Linked DNA regions of Oryctolagus cuniculus. The protein of the gene in region 1 interacts with the protein of each later gene in a pairwise test. Links are inferred from orthologs where the notes say so. Each region holds a gene or a part of one and is shown in the gene's direction. Other genes may lie near its edges. The genes, in order: LMNA, synaptonemal complex central element protein 1, VAMP4, myeloid zinc finger 1 and BNIP3L.

Region 1 (3,513 bases):
AGATGGGAGATGCCAGCGGACGATGACAAAACCTCAGCTGGCCTCCTGGATCTTCTGCCGCCAGCTCCACCCTTCCCCCAGCCCGTGCTTTCTAGAACAAACATCTGAGCAGGGTGCTGCCCAGTATGAGCTTCTCAGAGGTTCTTTCCGTGGCAGATAAAGACAGCTCTGCAGAAGGCACGGGTGTGGCTGAGCAGGTTCGAGTCCCGGCTCTGCTCCCTATTCCAGCTTCCTGCTAATGCGAACAGGAGGCAGCAGGGATGGCTCCCACATGGGAGACCCAGATGCAGTTCTCCGCCCCTGGCTTCAGCCTCCCCCAGGCTTGGCTGTTGTGGGCATTTGGGGAGTGAAACAGCAGATGGCTGATCTCTCTTCCCGCAAATAAATAAAAAATCTAATTAATTTTGAAAAAGGGATCTCTGTATGACCCATCACTTCACCGCCCCATCCATCAGCTGAAGGCCCTAGAACACGTGTGTGCCTTCGTAGCCCCGTGCCTTTGCACGTGCTGTCTTGGCCCCTCCCCAGGCTGCCCTATCAAGCCTCCCAGACCCCTTCTTCCACCACTCCAGCCACACTGGTTCCTTCCCCGCTGTGCTCTGTACACACCGCCCTCCTAGCAACTGCTATCTTGTGCCACAGTTTGGAGGTCTTACGAGGGTGGGAGGGCTGTGGCTTTCATTTCTTAGCACAAGAGCTACCCAAGTCATCCCCATCCTAACCTCCCCGGGCACCCCAAGGCCTCGCTTCCCCCTGGACCTGTCCCTATGCATGGAAGGGACCCGCTGGGAACGGCCTGGGGCTCGGCATCGCTGCAGCTGGCACATCCCGTGACCCCTCTGCCCACTTCCTCTTAGCTCGAGGCAGCCCTGGGGGAGGCCAAGAAGCAGCTGCAGGACGAGATGCTGCGGCGAGTGGACGCCGAGAACCGGCTGCAGACCCTGAAGGAGGAGCTGGACTTCCAGAAGAACATCTACAGCGAGGTGGGGCTTGCGCATGGGGGTTGGAGATGCCGGGGCCAGGGGGCCGGGCCAGGCCCGAGCTGTAAGGAACGGGGGCCGATTTATGGGTTCCGTGTCCTTGTTCCCACCCCTTCCAGGAGCTGCGTGAGACCAAGCGGCGCCACGAGACCCGGCTGGTGGAGATCGACAACGGGAAGCAGCGCGAGTTTGAGAGCCGGCTGGCCGACGCGCTGCAGGAACTGCGGGCCCAGCACGAGGACCAGGTGGAGCAATACAAGAAGGAGCTGGAGAAGACCTACTCCGCCAAGGTGCCCCCCCCCACACCCCACCCCGGGATCTGAGGCCGCCCCAGCAATGCCGTCCTCAGGCCCCGCCCTCCTAAACTCCCCCCGCCCCCCCGGCCTTCCCCGCAGCTGGACAACGCCAGGCAGTCTGCTGAGCGGAACAGCAACCTGGTGGGGGCCGCGCACGAGGAGCTGCAGCAGTCCCGCATCCGCATCGACAGCCTCTCGGCCCAGCTCAGCCAGCTGCAGAAGCAGGTGCCTCTGGGGACAGCACGGATGGGGGGGGCACCCAGGGTGAGGTCTGGAGGGCGGAGGGGAGGGGAGAGATGAGCACGCCTCCAGGACTGCAGGCCGAGAGAATGAGCTGGGGCCCAGGATTTGGAAGCAAGTGTCCTGTCCGCTTTGTCTCACTGCACCTGCACGTCTAGGGCGTGTTGATTTTCCCCTCGGGAGCTCACACACCCCCGCCTCTCCCCATCTCAGCTGGCAGCCAAGGAAGCGAAGCTGCGGGACCTGGAGGACTCGCTGGCCCGGGAGCGGGACACCAGCCGGCGGCTGCTGGCGGAGAAAGAGCGGGAGATGGCCGAGATGCGGGCAAGGATGCAGCAGCAGCTGGACGAGTACCAGGAGCTGCTGGACATCAAGCTGGCCCTGGACATGGAGATCCATGCCTACCGCAAGCTCCTGGAGGGCGAGGAGGAGAGGTGGGCTGGGGAGCACCCGGGAGCTCCAGCAATAGGCCCTGGCCTGCGCCGGGCCTGCATGAGACCCCTTCCCCTAACTCTGTCTCCTCCCCTCCCCAGGCTACGCCTGTCCCCCAGTCCCACCTCGCAGCGCAGGGGCCGTGCCTCTTCGCACTCGTCCCAGACGCAGGGCGGGGGCAGCATCACCAAGAAGCGGAAGCTGGAGTCGGCCGAGAGCCGCAGCAGCTTCTCGCAGCACGCGCGCACCAGCGGGCGCGTGGCAGTGGAGGAGGTGGATGAGGAGGGCAAGTTTGTGCGGCTGCGCAACAAGTCCAATGAGGTAGCCCCGCCCCTTCCCCACCACACCCCATCCTGGGCGGGGCCTGAGGGGATACTGCAAGAGGAAGGGCGGAGGGAACCCGGGAGGACCCTTCCTTCATTCCCTCTGCGGGCAGCCAGGGCCAGTGTGTATGTCTCCCGCTCCCTGGTTCCAGTCCTGCCTGGGAAACCTGGGACAAGTTATGTCGCCTCTCGGGGGATCAGTCTGCTCATCTGTAAAATGGACATGAGTGATAGCCCCCAGGTGAAAGATGGCGCACCATGAAGTCCATGGTGGCGGCTGTTTTTTAGTAGGGGGGGGGGGCAAGGCAGTAATGGGGTAGAGGGACCAGGAGCCTCTGAGTGCCGGCAGCGGGTGAGATTAACCCAAAGAACCAGGATACACCTCCCCTTCTCCCCCTTCCCTCCCTGCCTGGCAGGACCAGTCCATGGGCAACTGGCAGATCAAGCGCCAAAACGGAGATGACCCCTTGCTGACTTACCGCTTCCCGCCCAAGTTCACCCTGAAGGCCGGGCAGGTGGTGACGGTGAGTGGCAGGGCGCTTGGCGCCCTGCGGTAGCCTGGGGCGGGGTGTGTGTGTGTGTGTGTGTGTGTGTGGAGGACGGGCCTGAGGACAGTAGCACGGAGTGAGTGCCCTTTCCCGCTTCCTTTTCTCCAGATCTGGGCTGCTGGAGCCGGGGCCACCCACAGCCCCCCTACCGACCTGGTGTGGAAGGCGCAGAACACTTGGGGCTGTGGAAACAGCCTGCGCACGGCTCTCATCAATTCCACTGGGGAAGTGAGTGTGCTGCGGGCTGGGCAGGGCTCCCCCTAGTGGCCACAGTCGGACGGTCACTTTGCCGGTCTCCTACGGGGGGTGGGGGTGGGGGTGGGGGTGGTGGTTGTGCCTCCCTGGGGTGGGAGCAAGTTCCTTAGCGCCGGCCCCACAGAGGGCAGGGTCAGCAGCAGGCCGGCTGCTGGCGGTCCCCGTGGGTAGGTGTGCCGCACGCCGCCCCCACCCCCCCGCCGGCCCCGTGTGGCCCCTCACCCTCAGGTCTGTGTCCCTGGCAGGAGGTGGCCATGCGCAAGCTGGTGCGCTCGGTGACTGTGGTGGAGGACGACGACGACGAGGATGGAGATGACCTGCTCCATCATCACCATGTGAGTGGCAGCCGCCGCTGAGGCCAAGCCTGGCCAGACCTGGGGGCAGCCCCTCACGCCCAAAAATCTTTTCATTAAAGAATGTTTTGGAACTTCACTGGCTG
Region 2 (4,014 bases), on another chromosome or scaffold:
TTTGAAGTGCAGATACTGGGCTGTACCTGGAAAGTTATCGGGGTGACTTTGAGATGCAGATGCCTTGTCACACACACATAAGCTAATTTCTGACTTCCTACCTAACATTCCCCCCTCAAGAGAGAAATTCCCATAATTCTTTTTGGGATAAATGGGCGAAGTTCCATCTTCTGTAGCTACTTTGGAAGCTGACAAATGGGCGTAGAGATGGATATGGATATTTCCTCTTTTTTTTTTTTTTTTTTTTTTTTTGACAGGCAGAGTGGACAGTGAGAGAGAGAGACAGAGAGAAAGGTCTTCCTTTGCCGTTGGTTCACCCTCCAATGGCTGCTGCGGCCGGCGCACCGCGCTGATCCGATGGCAGGAGCCAGGTACTTATCCTGGTCTCCCATGGGGTGCAGGGCCCAAGCACTTGGACCATCCTCCACTGCACTCCTGGGCCACAGCAGAGAGCTGGACTGGAAGAGGGGCAACCGGGACAGAATCCGGTGCCCCGACCGGGACTAGAACCCAGTGTGCCGGCGCCGCAAGGCAGAGGATTAGCCTAGTGAGCCACAGCACTGGCCTGGATATTTCCTCTTGCTACCTGTCCTATAGTGTGCGACAGTGGCCCTGGAAAGACTGTCCTGCTTAGTCCAGAGTGCTGCTCAGGTTGTCCAATGGAATGGGCTGGAAGCCTTGCCTGACGACCATTTGGAGTTCGACAGCTTTTATAATGTTAGAAACAAAATGAACAAACATACAGTCCAAAGAGAAGCATCAAGATTACAGAAGTTATAGGGCCAAAGAAAGGAAATAGTCAGGATTTCCATGACCAGCTGTCAGGCCAGAAATCCCAGCCCTGCTTGGCCTGATCCTGCAGCTGTTTGGCTTTGTCCAGGAAAGGACAAATTTGGGTTTGTACCTGTGCAGTCTGATTGACCCAGGAACAACGTTCTTCCTGGAGCATGGCAGACACCTCCCTGAGCGGCAATCAGCATATCCAATGCTCATCTGTTTTGGAGAACAACTGAACCAAAGAATTGATCACAGACACACCTGCACACGAGTGTGCACACAGCTGAGACACAGACCACGCTGTACATGTGTGTACACAGAGGAGATGCGGACACAGCTGTACACGTATGTGCACACAGCTGAGGTGCACATGCCTGCATACGTGCGCATGCGCAGTGGCTGCCGGGCAGGGCGCCCCGCTGGGTGACGGCGCGCTGAGCGCACTGCGCAGGCGTCAGCGTCGTCCAATCAGCGGTCAAGGCGCCGAGGCACAGGCGCCGCCGAGCTGAGAGGAAATGGCCGCGCGGTCCGGGCCTTCGCGTGTGGAGCCCATGGGCGCCGCGGACCGCGCCGAGAAGGCTGCAGGTGGCGGGAGCGCGGCGGGGCCTCCCTGGGCAGGGGGCGTCGCGGCTTCCAAGAGCGGAAGGCGTGGGGTGGCGTCGGCCGGGCGTGCCGGGCCTGGCCCCGCCTTCCTGGCCCCGACGCACCTGCGGACTCGCGGTCCCCGTGGTCCTCACCTGAGCGCAAGCAGGCTTCCCAGGGGGTTCCCCAGACCGCGCCTCGCCGCCAGGACGGGAGGGGGCGGCAGGGCCCCCAGCCCCGCCAGGTCCGAGCCCCCGCCCGCGCCGCGCCCCCTGTCGGATGTCGCCCGCCCGCAGGGTCCGTCCTGCCCACCCAGGGCTGCACACAGGGACGGGGCCGCAGCTCTGGGAGTGCCCCTGGGCCCGGGCCGGCGGGCCCTCCTGGGCCCCGTCTTCACGCTGACGGGCGTGGTTTCGCACCACAGGGCAGGACAAGTCACAGAAGATTGACGACCTGATGGACGTGGTGGCGAGGCTGCAGAAAGGTCCTGTGTCCCGTGGTCAGGGGCTCGGCCTGGGTAGGGTCAGCCTGTGGGCTCGGTGCAGGCCCACGGCTCACCACGCCGAGGACTCAGCCCCGAGCGCTTTCTTTCACGTATTCTTTCCTTCCACGGTGTTTGCTTACTTTTTATAAAGAGTTCACTTATTTATTTGAAAGGCCCAGTACGGGGCCGGGGGAGACAGGCGAGGTCTTCCAGCCGCCGGTTCACTCTCCAAAAGGCTGCAGTGGCCACGGCTGGGCCAGTGCAAAGCCAGGGGCCAGGAGCTTCCTCTAGGCCTCCCACGTGGGTACAGGGACCCAAGGACACGGACCATCTTCCACTGCTTTCCCGGGTGAATTCGGGAGCTGGGCCCAGCGGAAGCAGCCGACACTGGACGTGGAGCCCACGTGGGATGCCGGTTGTCTCCACTGGCAGCTTTGCCCGCTGCACCAGTGCCATCCCCCATCACACACACTCAGTGCACACTGACACACACTCACACTTTCACACACACTCTGACACACACACACACACACTCACTCCTCACTTTATAACCCGTTATCACACTTCACTTCTCTTTCCCTGTGTCCGGATCTCCAGCTGTCTGTTTCTTGTCTCCCACCGAGAATGTGAGCTGTAAGGGGACCACACAGCCCTGCTGGGAGTCTGTGAACCGGAAGCAGCACGGGCAGGGCGGGAACCATGGCCTCCCGCTGTGTCAGCTCCATCTCTGTTTACTCCCTGCAGTGGGGAGCCTGGAGCCCCGAGTCGAGGTCCTGATTAACCGCATTAATGAGGTTCAGCAAGGTGAGCTCAGGGACCTTGGCCTGCAGCGGGGGCTGTGTGATGTGTAGGGCTCCTCGTCTGAAAATTACAGATAGTCACAGCACAACGGCAGAGCACTAATTAATACCAGAGCGTTCCCCACGCACCTGCCACAGTGCTATCAGGAGCCTTGTCACCTCCTCTGTAAGATTCAGGCCCCTCCATGTTTGCTGGAAAACAGGCGTGCAGTGTTCATGTTTGCAAGAGGGTGGTGCTGCCCCGGCCGTACTCACACAGTGTCTCCCTTCTGCTCTTTGTTGAAGCCAAAAAGAAAGCCAGCGAGGAGCTGGGGGAAGCCCGGACTGTGTGGGAAGCCCTGCAGAAGGAACTGGATGTGTGTATGTGACGTGGGCGTCGCCGGAGGCCTCTGCAGTGTCCAGCTTACCCCACCCGAGTACTGCGGCATCTATGCTGTGGCCAAGAGCCCTGCCCCTTTGCAGCCTCAGGCCCTGCCCGTATCTCCCTCTCCCCTCTGCTGGTGCGGGTGTCCTGGGAACACCTCCCCAGCATACTCTTGCTTCTGGGCCTTTGCCCGGCTGCCCTGCAACTCCCAGATACTACAGATTCCTCTGCTGCCTGGGTTGTCACTCAGCTGTCCCCTTCTCGGAGGCTTTTCCCAATCCCCCTACCTAAAGATTCCACACTGTCCCCACTGGTCAGATGCCCTTCCTGCTCCATGTCCTCACCCCATTTCACGTGGGAGGAGAGACACTGGCATCCCGTGGAGTCCCCCCAGCCACCCTTAATAAATGTCAGGGTTGTTTGGTGCCTACAGAGAGGGTGGGCACCAGAGGGGCGGGGTCTGGGGGGTGAGGCAGACCCATGTGACGCGGGCCACCCAATCCCTGAGGGTCTGTGGGGTCCCTCCTGATGCCTGAGCATTTGTTGTGTCTTCTAGTGCATGGAGAGAAAGCACGTGTGCAGGAGATCCTGAACAAAAAGCAAGGTATTTACAGGCCCTCCGTCTCCAGCTCTGCCTCTCACGCCTGGGAGAAACCCCTCTCCCTTTGGCAGCTGAGGTCTCAGACACCTGCCTCAGCCTCCTGTGGCGTGTACCAGTCCAATCAGGTGTCCATGGGCCTGACGTGACCTGGTCCTGTTCTCTGCGCAGACCTGGGGCCGTGACGAGCTCACAGGCCCTGTTCTCCCCACAGAGACCCTGAGGATCCTCCGGCTGCACTGCCAGGAGAAGGAGAGTGAGGCACAGAGGTGAGAGCCTCGTTGTGAGGGGGCAGAGGTACAAAGGAGGTGAGGTTGAGACCCTCTGTACAGTGTGGGTCAAAGGGGGCCTCCCCTCAGCTTCCTCCAGGTCACCCACACGGGTGCAGGGGCCCAAGCACTTGGGCCAT
Region 3 (4,127 bases), about 16 Mb from region 1:
AGTGAAGAATTACCGTCTCCATAACTGGAGTTCATGAGAAAGAAAACAGGGGAGGAAATAATATAATTCAGGTTGGCTGGAGTCCTGACTCTAAATTCAGTGTTATTTATCATCTTTCAGGTTTACTGGCATATTGGATTCATGGTAACTGTAAAACGACATTTTCTAAGTTTTCACACATGTTAGGGAAATCAAAGGGACTTTGTTCAAGTGATTAAAGGTGAAGTTTGTATTTTCCCTCCCGTAAGCAATCATACCAAAAAGACTGGCAGATCCTTTTGGTTAAAAGACTAAGAGGCCAACGCAGTGGCGCAGTAGCTTGAGCCACCACTTAGGATGCTGACCACCTGTATCAGAGCACTGGTTGGAGCTTCCTAGCTGACTCCCAGCTAACTTACATAGGAAAGCAGCAGAAAATGGCCCAAGTACTTGGGCCCTGCCACCCACGTGAGAGACCAGGAAAGAGAACCCAGCCCCTGACTTCGGGCTAGACCAGACCTGGCTGTTAGAGCCATTTGGGGAGTGAACCTGTACAAGGAAGCTCTCTTTCTCTGTGTCTCTTCCTCTGTCTCTGACATTCTTACTTACAAGTCAAAGCATTTTTTAAAAATCTAAAAAAAAAAAAAAAAAAAAACTAAGAAAAAGAATAGATTACTCACAAATAGTACAGACACAAAATCACTTCAGAGAAGAACTAATTTCTGGGTTATCCGTGGAGGCTGGGACAGAAACTACAAGAGGCTTCCATTCCAGATGGACCACTTTTGTCCTCATCAGTAGCGAACTCCAGCTCTTGAGGGAGCCCAACCCCACTGCTCGCAGTCTGTGAACATAGCAAACTAAATCAGAATCTGAGTAGTGCCCGGGCACCAGTAGTTTCACAAGCCTTCCGGATACGGCAACTCCAGGGGCAAGCCTTAGCGGCGCCTTTTCAATTAGTGCATTAAGTCAACCACACAGAAACAGCAGCAGCATGTAAGAGCGTGTCTACTTCCTCCTCTCCCTGCGTGTCCCTTGGTCCTCTAAGCCACCTTCCTCTTCCCATTCGACTTCCTCAGCCTGGGGACGGATCTCGCACAAGCACCACCTAAAGGTCTTACCGACCCCAGTCACGAAGCTCCGAGCCCCACCCTAAGCTACTTCTCAGCGGCTCCGACACCGCTCCCCTCGCGCCCACCACGCACGCCTGATGCGCGCCAGCACCTCGAGAACCACTGTTCCTCCTCAAAACACAGCATAGCTTGGGTATCCAGATCTCAGACGGCTGGAAGGCCAGAGGTTCTTCGGGGTTAGACGCAGCGGGCGGAATCGACTCCCTCGGCGATCGCCGCGCCCTGGGCTGCCCCCTCCGCCTGCAGCCAGGCCGCGGAGCGCCGATCGGCTCGATGAGCGGGGGCGCAGCTGCGGCGCAGCGGCCGACGCCGGGTCCGCGCCCACTGTCTCCCCCTCCCAGCCTTTTCCCTCGGCTTCCCGCTCCTTCCCCCGCCCGCCCAGCGCCGCCCGCTCGGGAGAGCTGCCGGGAGCTCCCCGGGAGCCTCAGGTACTGGCGCCGGCCTCTTCCCGGCGGGAGGGGCTGGTGTGAGGAGGCAGGAAAGGAAGACGACGCCCCTGCCCCACGGCCCCCCAACGTCCGGGTCGGGCTAGGCGGGCAGGGGTCTAGGGGCCGGGGGCCGAGGAGCCCTGAGAGGGAAGGGGTTGGGGCCGGGGTCGGTGACGGGGTGTGCGGATGGGGGGCGGTTGTGGAGACTGGAGGTGAGGGGTGCGCTGGGGAGATGGGAAGAGAAGGGTGCGTGGATGAGGAAGATTTGTTCAGAGCGGGAGGTAGCTGGGGTGAGTGGGTGTCAGGGGCAGGATGGGCCCGAGTTAGCAGACGTGGGGGTCCGTGGCCTGGTGCGATCGCTGGAGTAAGGGGAGCTGCCTGTTGGAGGCTATGGAAATGGTGCTTTAAGGAAGGGCTGGGGCGAAAACACCAGCCCGTGTACGTTTCTAACCCCGGAAGGCGGGGGTCGGGCAGTACACTTGACAGGTTGTATGAATAACATCTCCAGTGTGTCCAGCCAAGTCTCTATTTCTGAGAGAGGGCAACCAAAGCTGCTGAGAGATGGGAAAGAGAAGTCAGAAAGGGATTGGAGGCTGGGAAAAGGAAGGCTGCTCAAATTCCAGCTTTTGTGAACTGAAAAACATAAATGGTGTGTGTGTGTGTTTGGTTTTCTTTGGAAAGCAAAAAGTCAGCATTTATTAAGCAGCAGATTAGAAGGTTATTACATATAAAGCCACGGAATAGAGAACACACTACAAAAATGCGTACATGAGGTTTTTTACCTGTGATGATGATGTAAGAAGTATAAAGTGTTGTGACATTTTTAAAGTGAATTGTGGAGTGGTGCCTGTCCTCAGTGTGGCAATACATAATGGTGGCTGCCTCATTTACATACAAACACCTAAATTCACAGGTATTTTTGTAGGAGAAATCTTAGGCAGAATATGTACGAATCCAATAGCTGAGCGTGGTTTATTTCTACTAGTTTGATACAAATATCTGTTGCCTTGTGACTCCTCAAGCATAGCTAATTAATCTTCCTTCTGGCTTTTCTGTTTGTCAGACATGATTTCTTGACTTTGTGAGGTTGATTCTTGGAGAATGGGACCTCGAAGGGGGTTTGCTCATCATTAAGATCTTATCTTTAGGTCTCATAAAGGCATTTTACAAGTCTTGCTTTGGGGCTGCTGAGGCAGCCTCTTTGTAGGGTTTAAAATATAAACAAACACATGAGAAAAGCTCAAGTTTCTCAGTTATTTGCTTTGTCATCTGTTTTTCCATGCATTCTGCAACATTCCTGCATGGATGAATTATTTGGAAATTGAAATATGGGGAATAAATGGACAGGACGTATGTGACAAAAACTGTGAATTGAAGAACTCTGGAACTGTTACTTAGGTGGCAACACTGGTTTATGTGACAAGTGGTTGAGTTTCTAACTTGGAAACATTTCTTTTCAGTATTTTTTTTATAGGAAGCTGGCTCAAAATATTTATTACCTTTATTAGGTCTTTGAACCTATACCCTGGTCCTTTTTCTTTCTTCAGTGCCCAACATTAGCTAACAAACTAATGCCTAACAATACCTAATTTAAAGATCTTAAATTCTTATGAAGAGGGAACAGGGCTCCTGGATTATCATGGGAAAATGTGTTTTCCAGGACAGAAATGTGTAACCTAATTGAGTAAATATTGGAGCTAATTATGGGGGCAGGCATTTAGCATAGTGGTTAAGACACTGGTTAAGATGCTTGCATCCCACATTTGAGTGCCTGAGTTCCATTCCTGGCTCCAGCTCCTGGTGTCAACTTCTTGCTAATGCACACTCTGGGAGGCAGCAGAGATGGCTGAAATGATTGGGTTCCTGCCACACATGTGGGAGACGTGGATTGAGTTTCAGGCTCCTGGCATCAGCTGGTAGGGGACCATCGTGGACATTTTGTGAGCAAGTAGCTGGGAACATGTTCTCTCTCTCTCTGTCTCCCTTCCTCCCTCCCTCTCAAATAAGCAAAGAAAGCTGATAATGCACAGCTGTCGAGCAATTTAGGTTTATGTCTCTGCTATTTCAATGACTGAAATGACAAACACTGTTATTTGTATTTACTAAGCCTTATTTTTTCTCTCAGTTTCTTAGTGCCTACTTCAAAAGAGTATCAAAGATTAAAAGAGAAAAATGCATGTGTATGGCTGAGTGCAAGGTGCAGCCCATAGTAAATAACATTCAGTACATCTTAGCTATTCTGAATTGCTGTATATTCACCCATCAAGTTCAAAATGCTGAAAATTCATATTTGCATAGGACAGCTTTTTCTGCCAGAAAATTTTAATTATATTGCATACTCAAGCATATTCCTAGAAAGTTACTATGCATGTTAACATGTAAGGGGCTGAGATGGTTCTGTAGCAAAGACTGGAGCTACTTACCTCAGTTCTGATATAAGGAAAACAAACACAGCTTTTTTTTTTTTTTTTTTTTTTTTTTTTTTTTTTTTTTTTTACTGTCTCATGACACAGAACACTTTTGTGACCCTAGAATTGGGGGGGGGGGGGGCAAACAATTCTTTCATAGATTATCTGGTGGACACCAG
Region 4 (3,513 bases), on another chromosome or scaffold:
GTGGGAGGGAGTGGGCAGTAGGTGGTGCAGGTGCGGGAGGGAGTGGGCAGCAGGTGGTGCAGGTGTGGGAGGGAGTGGGCAGCAGGTGGTGCAGGTGTGGGAGGGAGTGGGCAGTAGGTGGTGCAGGTGCGGGAGGGAGTGGGCAGCAGGTGGTGCAGGTGTGGGAGGGAGTGGGCAGCAGGTGGTGCAGGTGTGGGAGGGAGTGGGCAGTAGGTGGTACAGGTGTGGGAGGGAGTGGGCAGTAGGTGGTGCAGGTGCGGGAGGGAGTGGGCAGCAGGTGGTGCAGGTGTGGGAGGGAGTGGGCAGCAGGTGGTGCAGGTGTGGGAGGGAGTGGGCAGCAGGTGGTGCAGGTGCGGGAGGGAGTGGGCAGTAGGTGGTGCAGGTGCTGGGAGGGAGTGGGCAGCAGGTGGTGCAGGTGTGGGAGGGAGTGGGCAGCAGGTGGTGCAGGTGTGGGAGGGAGTGGGCAGCAGGTGGTGCAGGTGCTGGGAGGGAGTGGGCAGTAGGTGGTGCAGGTGTGGGAGGGAGTGGGCAGCAGGTGGTGCAGGTGTGGGAGGGAGTGGGCAGTAGGTGGTGCAGGTGTGGGAGGGAGTGGGCAGCAGGTGGTGCAGGTGCTGGGAGGGAGTGGGCAGTAGGTGGTGCAGGTGTGGGAGGGAGTGGGCAGTAGGTGGTGCAGGTGTGGGAGGGAGTGGGCCGCAGGTGGTGCAGGTGCTGGGAGGGAGTGGGTAGCAGGTGGTACAGGTGTGGGAGGGAGTGGGCAGCAGGTGGTGCAGGTGTGGGAGGGAGTGGGCAGCAGTTGTACAGGTGTGGGAGGGAGTGGGTAGCAGGTGGTGCAGGTGTGGGAGGGAGTGGGCAGCAGGTGGTGCAGGTGCTGGGAGGGAGTGGGTAGCAGGTGGTACAGGTGTGGGAGGGAGTGGGCAGCAGGTGGTGCAGGTGTGGGAGGGAGTGGGCAGCAGGTGGTACAGGTGTGGGAGGGAGTGGGCAGCAGGTGGTGCAGGTGCGGGAGGGAGTGGGCAGCAGGTGGTGCAGGTGTGGGAGGGAGTGGGCAGCAGGTGGTGCAGGTGTGGGAGGGAGTGGGCAGTAGGTGGTGTAGGTGCGGGAGGGAGTGGGCAGTAGGTGGTGCAGGTGTGGGAGGGAGTGGGCAGTAGGTGGTGCAGGTGCGGGAGGGAGTGGGCAGTAGGTGGTGCAGGTGTGGGAGGGAGTGGGCAGTAGGTGGTGCAGGTGCGGGAGGGAGTGGGCAGTAGGTGGTGCAGGTGTGGGAGGGAGTGGGCAGTAGGTGGTGTAGGTGCTGGGAGGGAGTAGGCAGCAGTTGTACAGGTGTGGGAGGGAGTGGGCAGTAGGTGGTGCAGGTGTGGGAGGGAGTGGGCAGCAGGTGGTACAGGTGCGGGAGGGAGTGGGCAGTAGGTGGTGCAGGTGTGGGAGGGAGTGGGCAGCAGGTGGTGCAGGTGTGGGAGGGAGTGGGCAGCAGTTGTACAGGTGTGGGAGGGAGTAGGCAGCCGGTGGTGCAGGTGCTGGGAGCGAGTGGGCAGCAGGTGGTACAGGTGTGTCCACCTGGTAGGACAGCACAGAGCAGGGATGAGACTGCGCTCATGGAAGGTGGCTGTATTTAGGAGAAGGTCTCTTCTAGGCCTAAGAAACACTGTTTGGGGTAAGAGCGACCACACTCCACACAGGCCCAGCTAAGAAGCCAGCAGCAGTGGCTCAGTGGAAGCGCCCAGCCCCGACAGCCCTGGGCGTGGCCCGTGCTTGTCTGATCATCTGCCCTCCAAGCGGGGCAGGTTGGAGGTTCATTCAGTGGGTGTTCTACCTGTGTGTGCTGCCACTGTCTGTGCTTGCTCTAGGGGCAGACAACGGCCTCAGAGAGCTGCTCTGTTACTCTCAATGAGACCAGCTGGGCTGGGCTCCGCAGGTGGCACACCCCCAGAAGACGAGGGGCCTTTCACGGTGAAGCTGGAGGACTCCGAGGAGGAAGGCGAAGCTGCCCTGTGGGACCCAGGCCCCGAGGCCGCACGCCTGCGCTTCCGGTGTTTCCGCTACGAGGAGGCAGTGGGTCCCCGAGAGGCCCTGGCCCGGCTCCGAGAGCTGTGTCGGGACTGGCTGCAGCCGGATGTGCACTCCAAGGAGCAGATGCTGGAGCTGCTGGTGCTGGAGCAGTTCCTGGGCGCGCTGCCCCCCGAGATCCAGGTTCATGTGCAGGGGCAGCAGCCAGGCAGCCCCGAGGAGGCTGCTACCTTGGTTGACAGGCTTCGCCAGGAGCCAGGCGGGCCTCGGCGATGGGTGAGTCAGTGGCCCTGAGCAGAGGGGTCAGGCCGGAGCGCTGTCCAGCTGCGCTTTACTCTGGGGGTGGGGGGAGGTGCCGTCGTCACACACATGCATATCCCTGTGGGAGAGGAGGGACCACACTGCAGTAGACTGCAAGGCTGCCCAGGGCAGGGAGGGGTTCCAGAGCCAGGCTCACCAGCCCATTCTTGCATCACCTGGGAACTACAGGATGGGAGAGAGGAGGGTACCAGGTAGTGCTGTGTGTCAGCAGGAAAGCAACTTTACTTCCTGACTGGAGCCCAGAGGAGGTAGGTCCTTGAAGGACTTAGGTTTACCAGGCAGATCCGTGGGGTCTTGGAATGGGTGGGTGTCCCTGGACTCCAAGCCGCACACAGCCCTATTTTCTGCTTGGCCCTCATGGTGGGGACACCTCCACAGGTCACAGTCCATGTGCAGGGCCAAGAGGTCCTATCAGAGAGGATGGACCCCTCCAGCTTCCATTCTCTACCTCAAACTCCAGAGCCTGGGCCCAAGATACTGCCTGAGGCCATGCAGCAGTCACCACTGGGCCTACAGGTGAAAGAGGAGCCAGAGGTTACAGAAGACCCAGGTGAGGGTGGGCAGGGACCAGGGTGGCCTGGACTAGGCAGTCTGAGTCCACTGAGCCGCACCCCTGTTAGATGGAATGGTTCCCATCTCTCACCCAGTCAGGTCTCCCCTCTGACTCACCCCCCTTTAGATGTCAGCCCTGACGGCCACAGCCCCACTTCCACAGCTGTCCCCTGGCATGCAAGCCACCTCATACCACTGCAGCTTGACCCCTCACCTCCCAGGGTACCCTGCTTTGCCCCACCCCAGCCCATACCCAGATCTTCTCCCTGCCTAAGTCCTGGCTCACGGCACACCAGTGAGAACTCCCTTGGACTGCCTGACCCACTCTTTCTCTCTAGAGCTTCTGGACTCTGGGCTTCTAGAGGCTGTACCCACCCTTCCACCTGAGGAGGCCCAGGTGAGCCCTGTACAGCCTGCGACCCACTCCCTGAGTCAGAGTGTCAGGGAGGCCCTCTGCCTGGGCCCAGCTGGGCATAAGTGAGCAGTGGCCACTCTGGTTTCAGGGCTGTGAGACAGCGCTGGACCAGGCCTCTCCACAGAGTGAGACTGGGCCTGAGGGGCCCTCATGGAAGGACTGCCCAGGGCCCCTATGGCATGAGGAAGCTGGAGACATCTTCTCTCCAGGTGAGTGAGACAGGACAT
Region 5 (3,513 bases), on another chromosome or scaffold:
CTCAGTGCAGCGAAAGAGATGATATTATTCCCACAAAAAATGGGAGAAACGAAGCTTTGTCCTAATAAGTTCCGTATCTACAACCACAGAGCAGGGTAGAGCTAGAAGCAGACCAGAAGTGGGCCCGTCTGCGTCTGTGGCCCCTGTTCCTTCTACTAAACTAGGCCACAGAAGGGGATTGAGAGCTGACAGGATCCTGAGAATGAACAGAAAATCCCTGGCGAGTGCAGTAGGGAGACGCCTGAGGCGATGCATTTAGGACAGAGGTCTCTCCAGCTGGGCTTACAGGATGATAGTCTTTGAGGGTCTAGGTTTTGTAGCAGAATATGGACATTGAAGATATTTTTGCTCTGTGTGTGGCCAGACAGGCTGGCTGGCTGTTGGGTGTCATTGAAAGATGATGTCCTCCTTGTTCCTCTGTTAGGAAGCTGGTCTCTCTGTCCATGGAGCTGAATATCCACCTTTAGACACCTAGGAAAGCTTACAACAGACCAAAGAGAGAAAACTTAAGTGATTAGGAGATGAGGGACTTCACATGACACCAGGCTAAATTGATCAGAATCTTCTCTGAACAGATATTGATGGATGTAGAGAGAAGGTTATTGATTTAGTTAAAACCAAGAATCTTAGATAACTAGATAATATGATTTTTTTCTTTTCATACTCTGCAATTCCAAGCACTGGGAGGCAATTTAAAAGCTAAAAGTAGCAAATTTGTGATTAATAAAAGGAAAGCACAGAGCAGGAGTAAGTGAGGAATGCACAGAACTGTTATTTTTAAAGTTAGCATTAAAATTCGGCTAGAAACTTACCTGGCGTTTTTTGTATTTAATACTAATCCAAAGATAATGTTGTTTTACTCAACTGAGAGAAAAATTGTATCCTCTGAGCAAAAAATTTTTGAGAGCATAAAATCTTAGCTTATTTTCCTATTGGAAAATAGGTAGTATTAACTTGTTCAAGGATCTGAACCTAAATCTTTGAGCAGTTTTAAAGAGACAAGTGAGGCCAGTGGAGAAGCTGTAAACTGAAAGGCCCTGCAGTGTGTTCACAGTCAGAGCCTCTGTGTGCACAGCCAATCTGCAAGTAAACTGTGCCGTTTCATTGTTTGTGAGTTAGGATGATTTCAGTCTCACTTCAAAGAGCCAACTCATGATTCTGAGTAATCTCAATGCCCAATGGAAAAAGCTCACCCGTAAATGCTACATTGTGTCACGGTGTGGAATCTGCCAAGTTCAGCAGAACTAGCTAAGAATGGCACTCACAAGAGTCACCCACGAACACAGGGCTTCCCCTGGGGTTTCTGTGCTGGAAGGGACTGTGTGTAGTGGCCGGCTCCTGTGGAAAAAGTATCATGTGGATGTGTCAGGCTCTGCATGTCTTAACTACTTTTTTTCCCTAAGATTTATCTTATTTTTTACTTGAAAGTCAGAGGGAGAGAAGGAGAGAGAGGTCTTCCATCCACTGGTTCACTCCCCAAATGGCGGCAGTGGCCAGAGCAGAGCCAAACCGAAGCCAAGGAGCTTCATCCCAGTCAGCCGTGTGGATGGCAGGGGCCCAGGCACTTAGACCATCTGCTGCTGCTTCCCAGGCGCATTAGCAGGGAGCTGGTTCTCAAGAACAGTGGACTTGAGCCAGTGCTAGGATGCCAGTGTCGCACGTGGTAGTTTTACCTGCTGCACCACAATGCCAGTCCCAGCCCCTTGAGTTCTTTAAAGATACTGAATACTCTAATCTTAGATCATTCTGTCAGCCTTTTGTTAAAAGAAAAAAAAGTAGCATATTACAGATAAATTACCGGTGCACAGCTATGTGAGTTCAGTCTATTGTTTGCCAGCTACGTCTTTGAATGAGCAGTTGGTTTTGCTTTCTTGTTTACAGTCAGAAGAAGAAGTTGTGGAAGGAGAGAAGGAAGTAGAGGCTTTGAAGAAGAGTGCAGACTGGGTATCGGATTGGTCCAGTAGACCTGAAAACATTCCACCCAAGTGAGTTCTCCACGTGCCTTCTCCGTGGGTGCCGGGGTTCTGTTTCACACGCCTGGTGGCAGTGGGCCTGGTCATCCCCGTGGCATCAGCAGATGCGATTGTGACACCAGCTCTGGTTTTCCTTCTCAGGGAGTTCCACTTCCGGCACCCGAAACGTTCTGTGTCTTTAAGCATGAGGAAAAGCGGCGCCATGAAGAAAGGGGGCATTTTCTCTGCAGAGTTCCTGAAGGTCTTCATCCCGTCTCTCTTCCTTTCCCACGTGCTGGCTTTGGGGCTGGGGTAAGTACCAGCGAATGCCTCCTTTCTTCCATTCATCCCGCCCTCGTGGTTTCTTTGCAGTAAGAAACTTGTGAACGCAGTGTGAATTGCTTTGCTTTTGTTTTAACTCAAGCGAGGATTAAACTTGGTACATGTTTGGTGTACCCATAATAAGGATTTTTAATAATAGGACTTTTTTCCTATTTGAAAATAAGATGTTCATACTGAATTTTTCTCTTTGGGTTTTGTTGCTTAACATTTAAGTCTTGAATAACTTATACAGAAAAGTAATTTTTAGTCTGAACACTTGGGGGTTGATGCTTTTTTTCCCGGATGAGAAGATGCGCCATAACACTGAGTAGACACTGGAGTGGAACTGGTAGGTGGGTTGTGGGCGCTGCTTTCTTTTCTGTGTAGCATTTTCATTTAGTCTAAAATCAGCCTCATATTTGCCAGTAACTCATTACTTTTTAAAGGCCTGTCTTTTAAATATTTTTTCCTTGATTTGAACAAGTGAGGACACTTATAAAACATTTTAAGAGTTAAATAGTAGTTGGTAATTTTTTTTTTTTTTTTTTAGATTTATTTATTTGAAAGGCAGAGTTACAGAGAGAGAGCTTCCATCCATTGGTTCACTCCACAAATGGCCACAACAGCTGGGTCGGGGCCATGCCAGAGCCAGGAGCTTCATCCAGGTCTCCCCTGTGGGTGCAGGGACCCAAGTTCTTAGACCGTCTTCCACTGCTTTCCCAGGCTCATTAGCAGGGAGTTGGATGGGAAGTGAGCAGCCAGGACTTGAACTGGCACCCAGATGAGATGCTGGCATTGCGGGTGGCAGCTTAGGTTGTTATACTACAATGCCAGCTGTGGCTGATAATTTTTTCTTTTTATTTTTTAGTATTTTTTTTATTTATTTGAAAGGCAGGGGCAGATAGAGACAGAGAGAAAGGTCTTCCATCCGCTGGTTCACTCCCCAGTTGGCTGCAACTGCCAGAGCTGTGCAGATCCGAAGCCAGGAGCTTCTTCTGGGTCTCCCACACCGGCGCCCATATGGACGCCAGCACTGCAAGCAGCGGCTTTACCCACGAGGCCGCAGTGCCGGCCCCTGGCTGGTAATTTTTTTCAAGAGCAACTTGTTATTCTCTGGAAGCTTGTTGAGTGGTCATTTTCTGTATGTGATGTACCAAAGATGGCCATCTCTTCCCTTTGTGGGGAACTCAGCTGTCACACAGAGATGCGAACACAGAGACACAGATACAACTTTCCACAC

What was found.
Region 2: the proteins of LMNA (region 1) and synaptonemal complex central element protein 1 interact in binary tests that used the Homo sapiens proteins (3 or more experiments, as listed by UniProt). The link is inferred for Oryctolagus cuniculus from reciprocal best matches to the Homo sapiens genes LMNA and SYCE1.
Region 3: the proteins of LMNA (region 1) and VAMP4 interact in a two-hybrid assay, tested with the Homo sapiens proteins (2 studies listed by BioGRID and IntAct, with this or other methods). The link is inferred for Oryctolagus cuniculus from reciprocal best matches to the Homo sapiens genes LMNA and VAMP4.
Region 4: the proteins of LMNA (region 1) and myeloid zinc finger 1 interact in binary tests that used the Homo sapiens proteins (3 or more experiments, as listed by UniProt). The link is inferred for Oryctolagus cuniculus from reciprocal best matches to the Homo sapiens genes LMNA and ZSCAN12.
Region 5: the proteins of LMNA (region 1) and BNIP3L interact in a two-hybrid assay, tested with the Homo sapiens proteins (2 studies listed by BioGRID and IntAct). The link is inferred for Oryctolagus cuniculus from reciprocal best matches to the Homo sapiens genes LMNA and BNIP3L.

What each region holds. Positions count from the first base shown.
Region 1 is NC_091438.1:42,571,720-42,575,232, reverse strand, and holds part of LMNA (lamin), read left to right. Parts: intron 1-857; coding exon 858-983; intron 984-1,099; coding exon 1,100-1,270; intron 1,271-1,375; coding exon 1,376-1,501; intron 1,502-1,729; coding exon 1,730-1,950; intron 1,951-2,049; coding exon 2,050-2,269; intron 2,270-2,687; coding exon 2,688-2,795; intron 2,796-2,927; coding exon 2,928-3,047; intron 3,048-3,319; coding exon 3,320-3,409; intron 3,410-3,513.
Region 2 is NC_091446.1:234,939-238,952, reverse strand, and holds the start of synaptonemal complex central element protein 1, read left to right. Parts: upstream 1-1,211; 5' UTR 1,212-1,292; coding exon 1,293-1,362; intron 1,363-1,464; exon of another isoform or gene 1,465-1,603; intron 1,604-1,783; coding exon 1,784-1,876; intron 1,877-2,587; coding exon 2,588-2,647; intron 2,648-2,928; coding exon 2,929-3,003; intron 3,004-3,563; coding exon 3,564-3,611; intron 3,612-3,819; coding exon 3,820-3,874; intron 3,875-4,014. UniProt on the Homo sapiens protein: Major component of the transverse central element of synaptonemal complexes (SCS), formed between homologous chromosomes during meiotic prophase. Requires SYCP1 in order to be incorporated into the central element.
Region 3 is NC_091438.1:26,791,272-26,795,398, forward strand, and holds the start of VAMP4 (vesicle-associated membrane protein 4), read left to right. Parts: upstream 1-1,319; 5' UTR 1,320-1,540; intron 1,541-4,127. UniProt on the Homo sapiens protein: Involved in the pathway that functions to remove an inhibitor (probably synaptotagmin-4) of calcium-triggered exocytosis during the maturation of secretory granules.
Region 4 is NC_091449.1:76,759-80,271, forward strand, and holds part of myeloid zinc finger 1, read left to right. Parts: intron 1-1,624; exon of another isoform or gene 1,625-1,838; coding exon 1,839-2,274; intron 2,275-2,697; coding exon 2,698-2,869; intron 2,870-3,209; coding exon 3,210-3,268; intron 3,269-3,374; coding exon 3,375-3,495; intron 3,496-3,513. UniProt on the Homo sapiens protein: May be involved in transcriptional regulation.
Region 5 is NC_091433.1:47,839,875-47,843,387, reverse strand, and holds part of BNIP3L (BCL2/adenovirus E1B 19 kDa protein-interacting protein 3-like), read left to right. Parts: intron 1-1,881; coding exon 1,882-1,985; intron 1,986-2,114; coding exon 2,115-2,264; intron 2,265-3,513.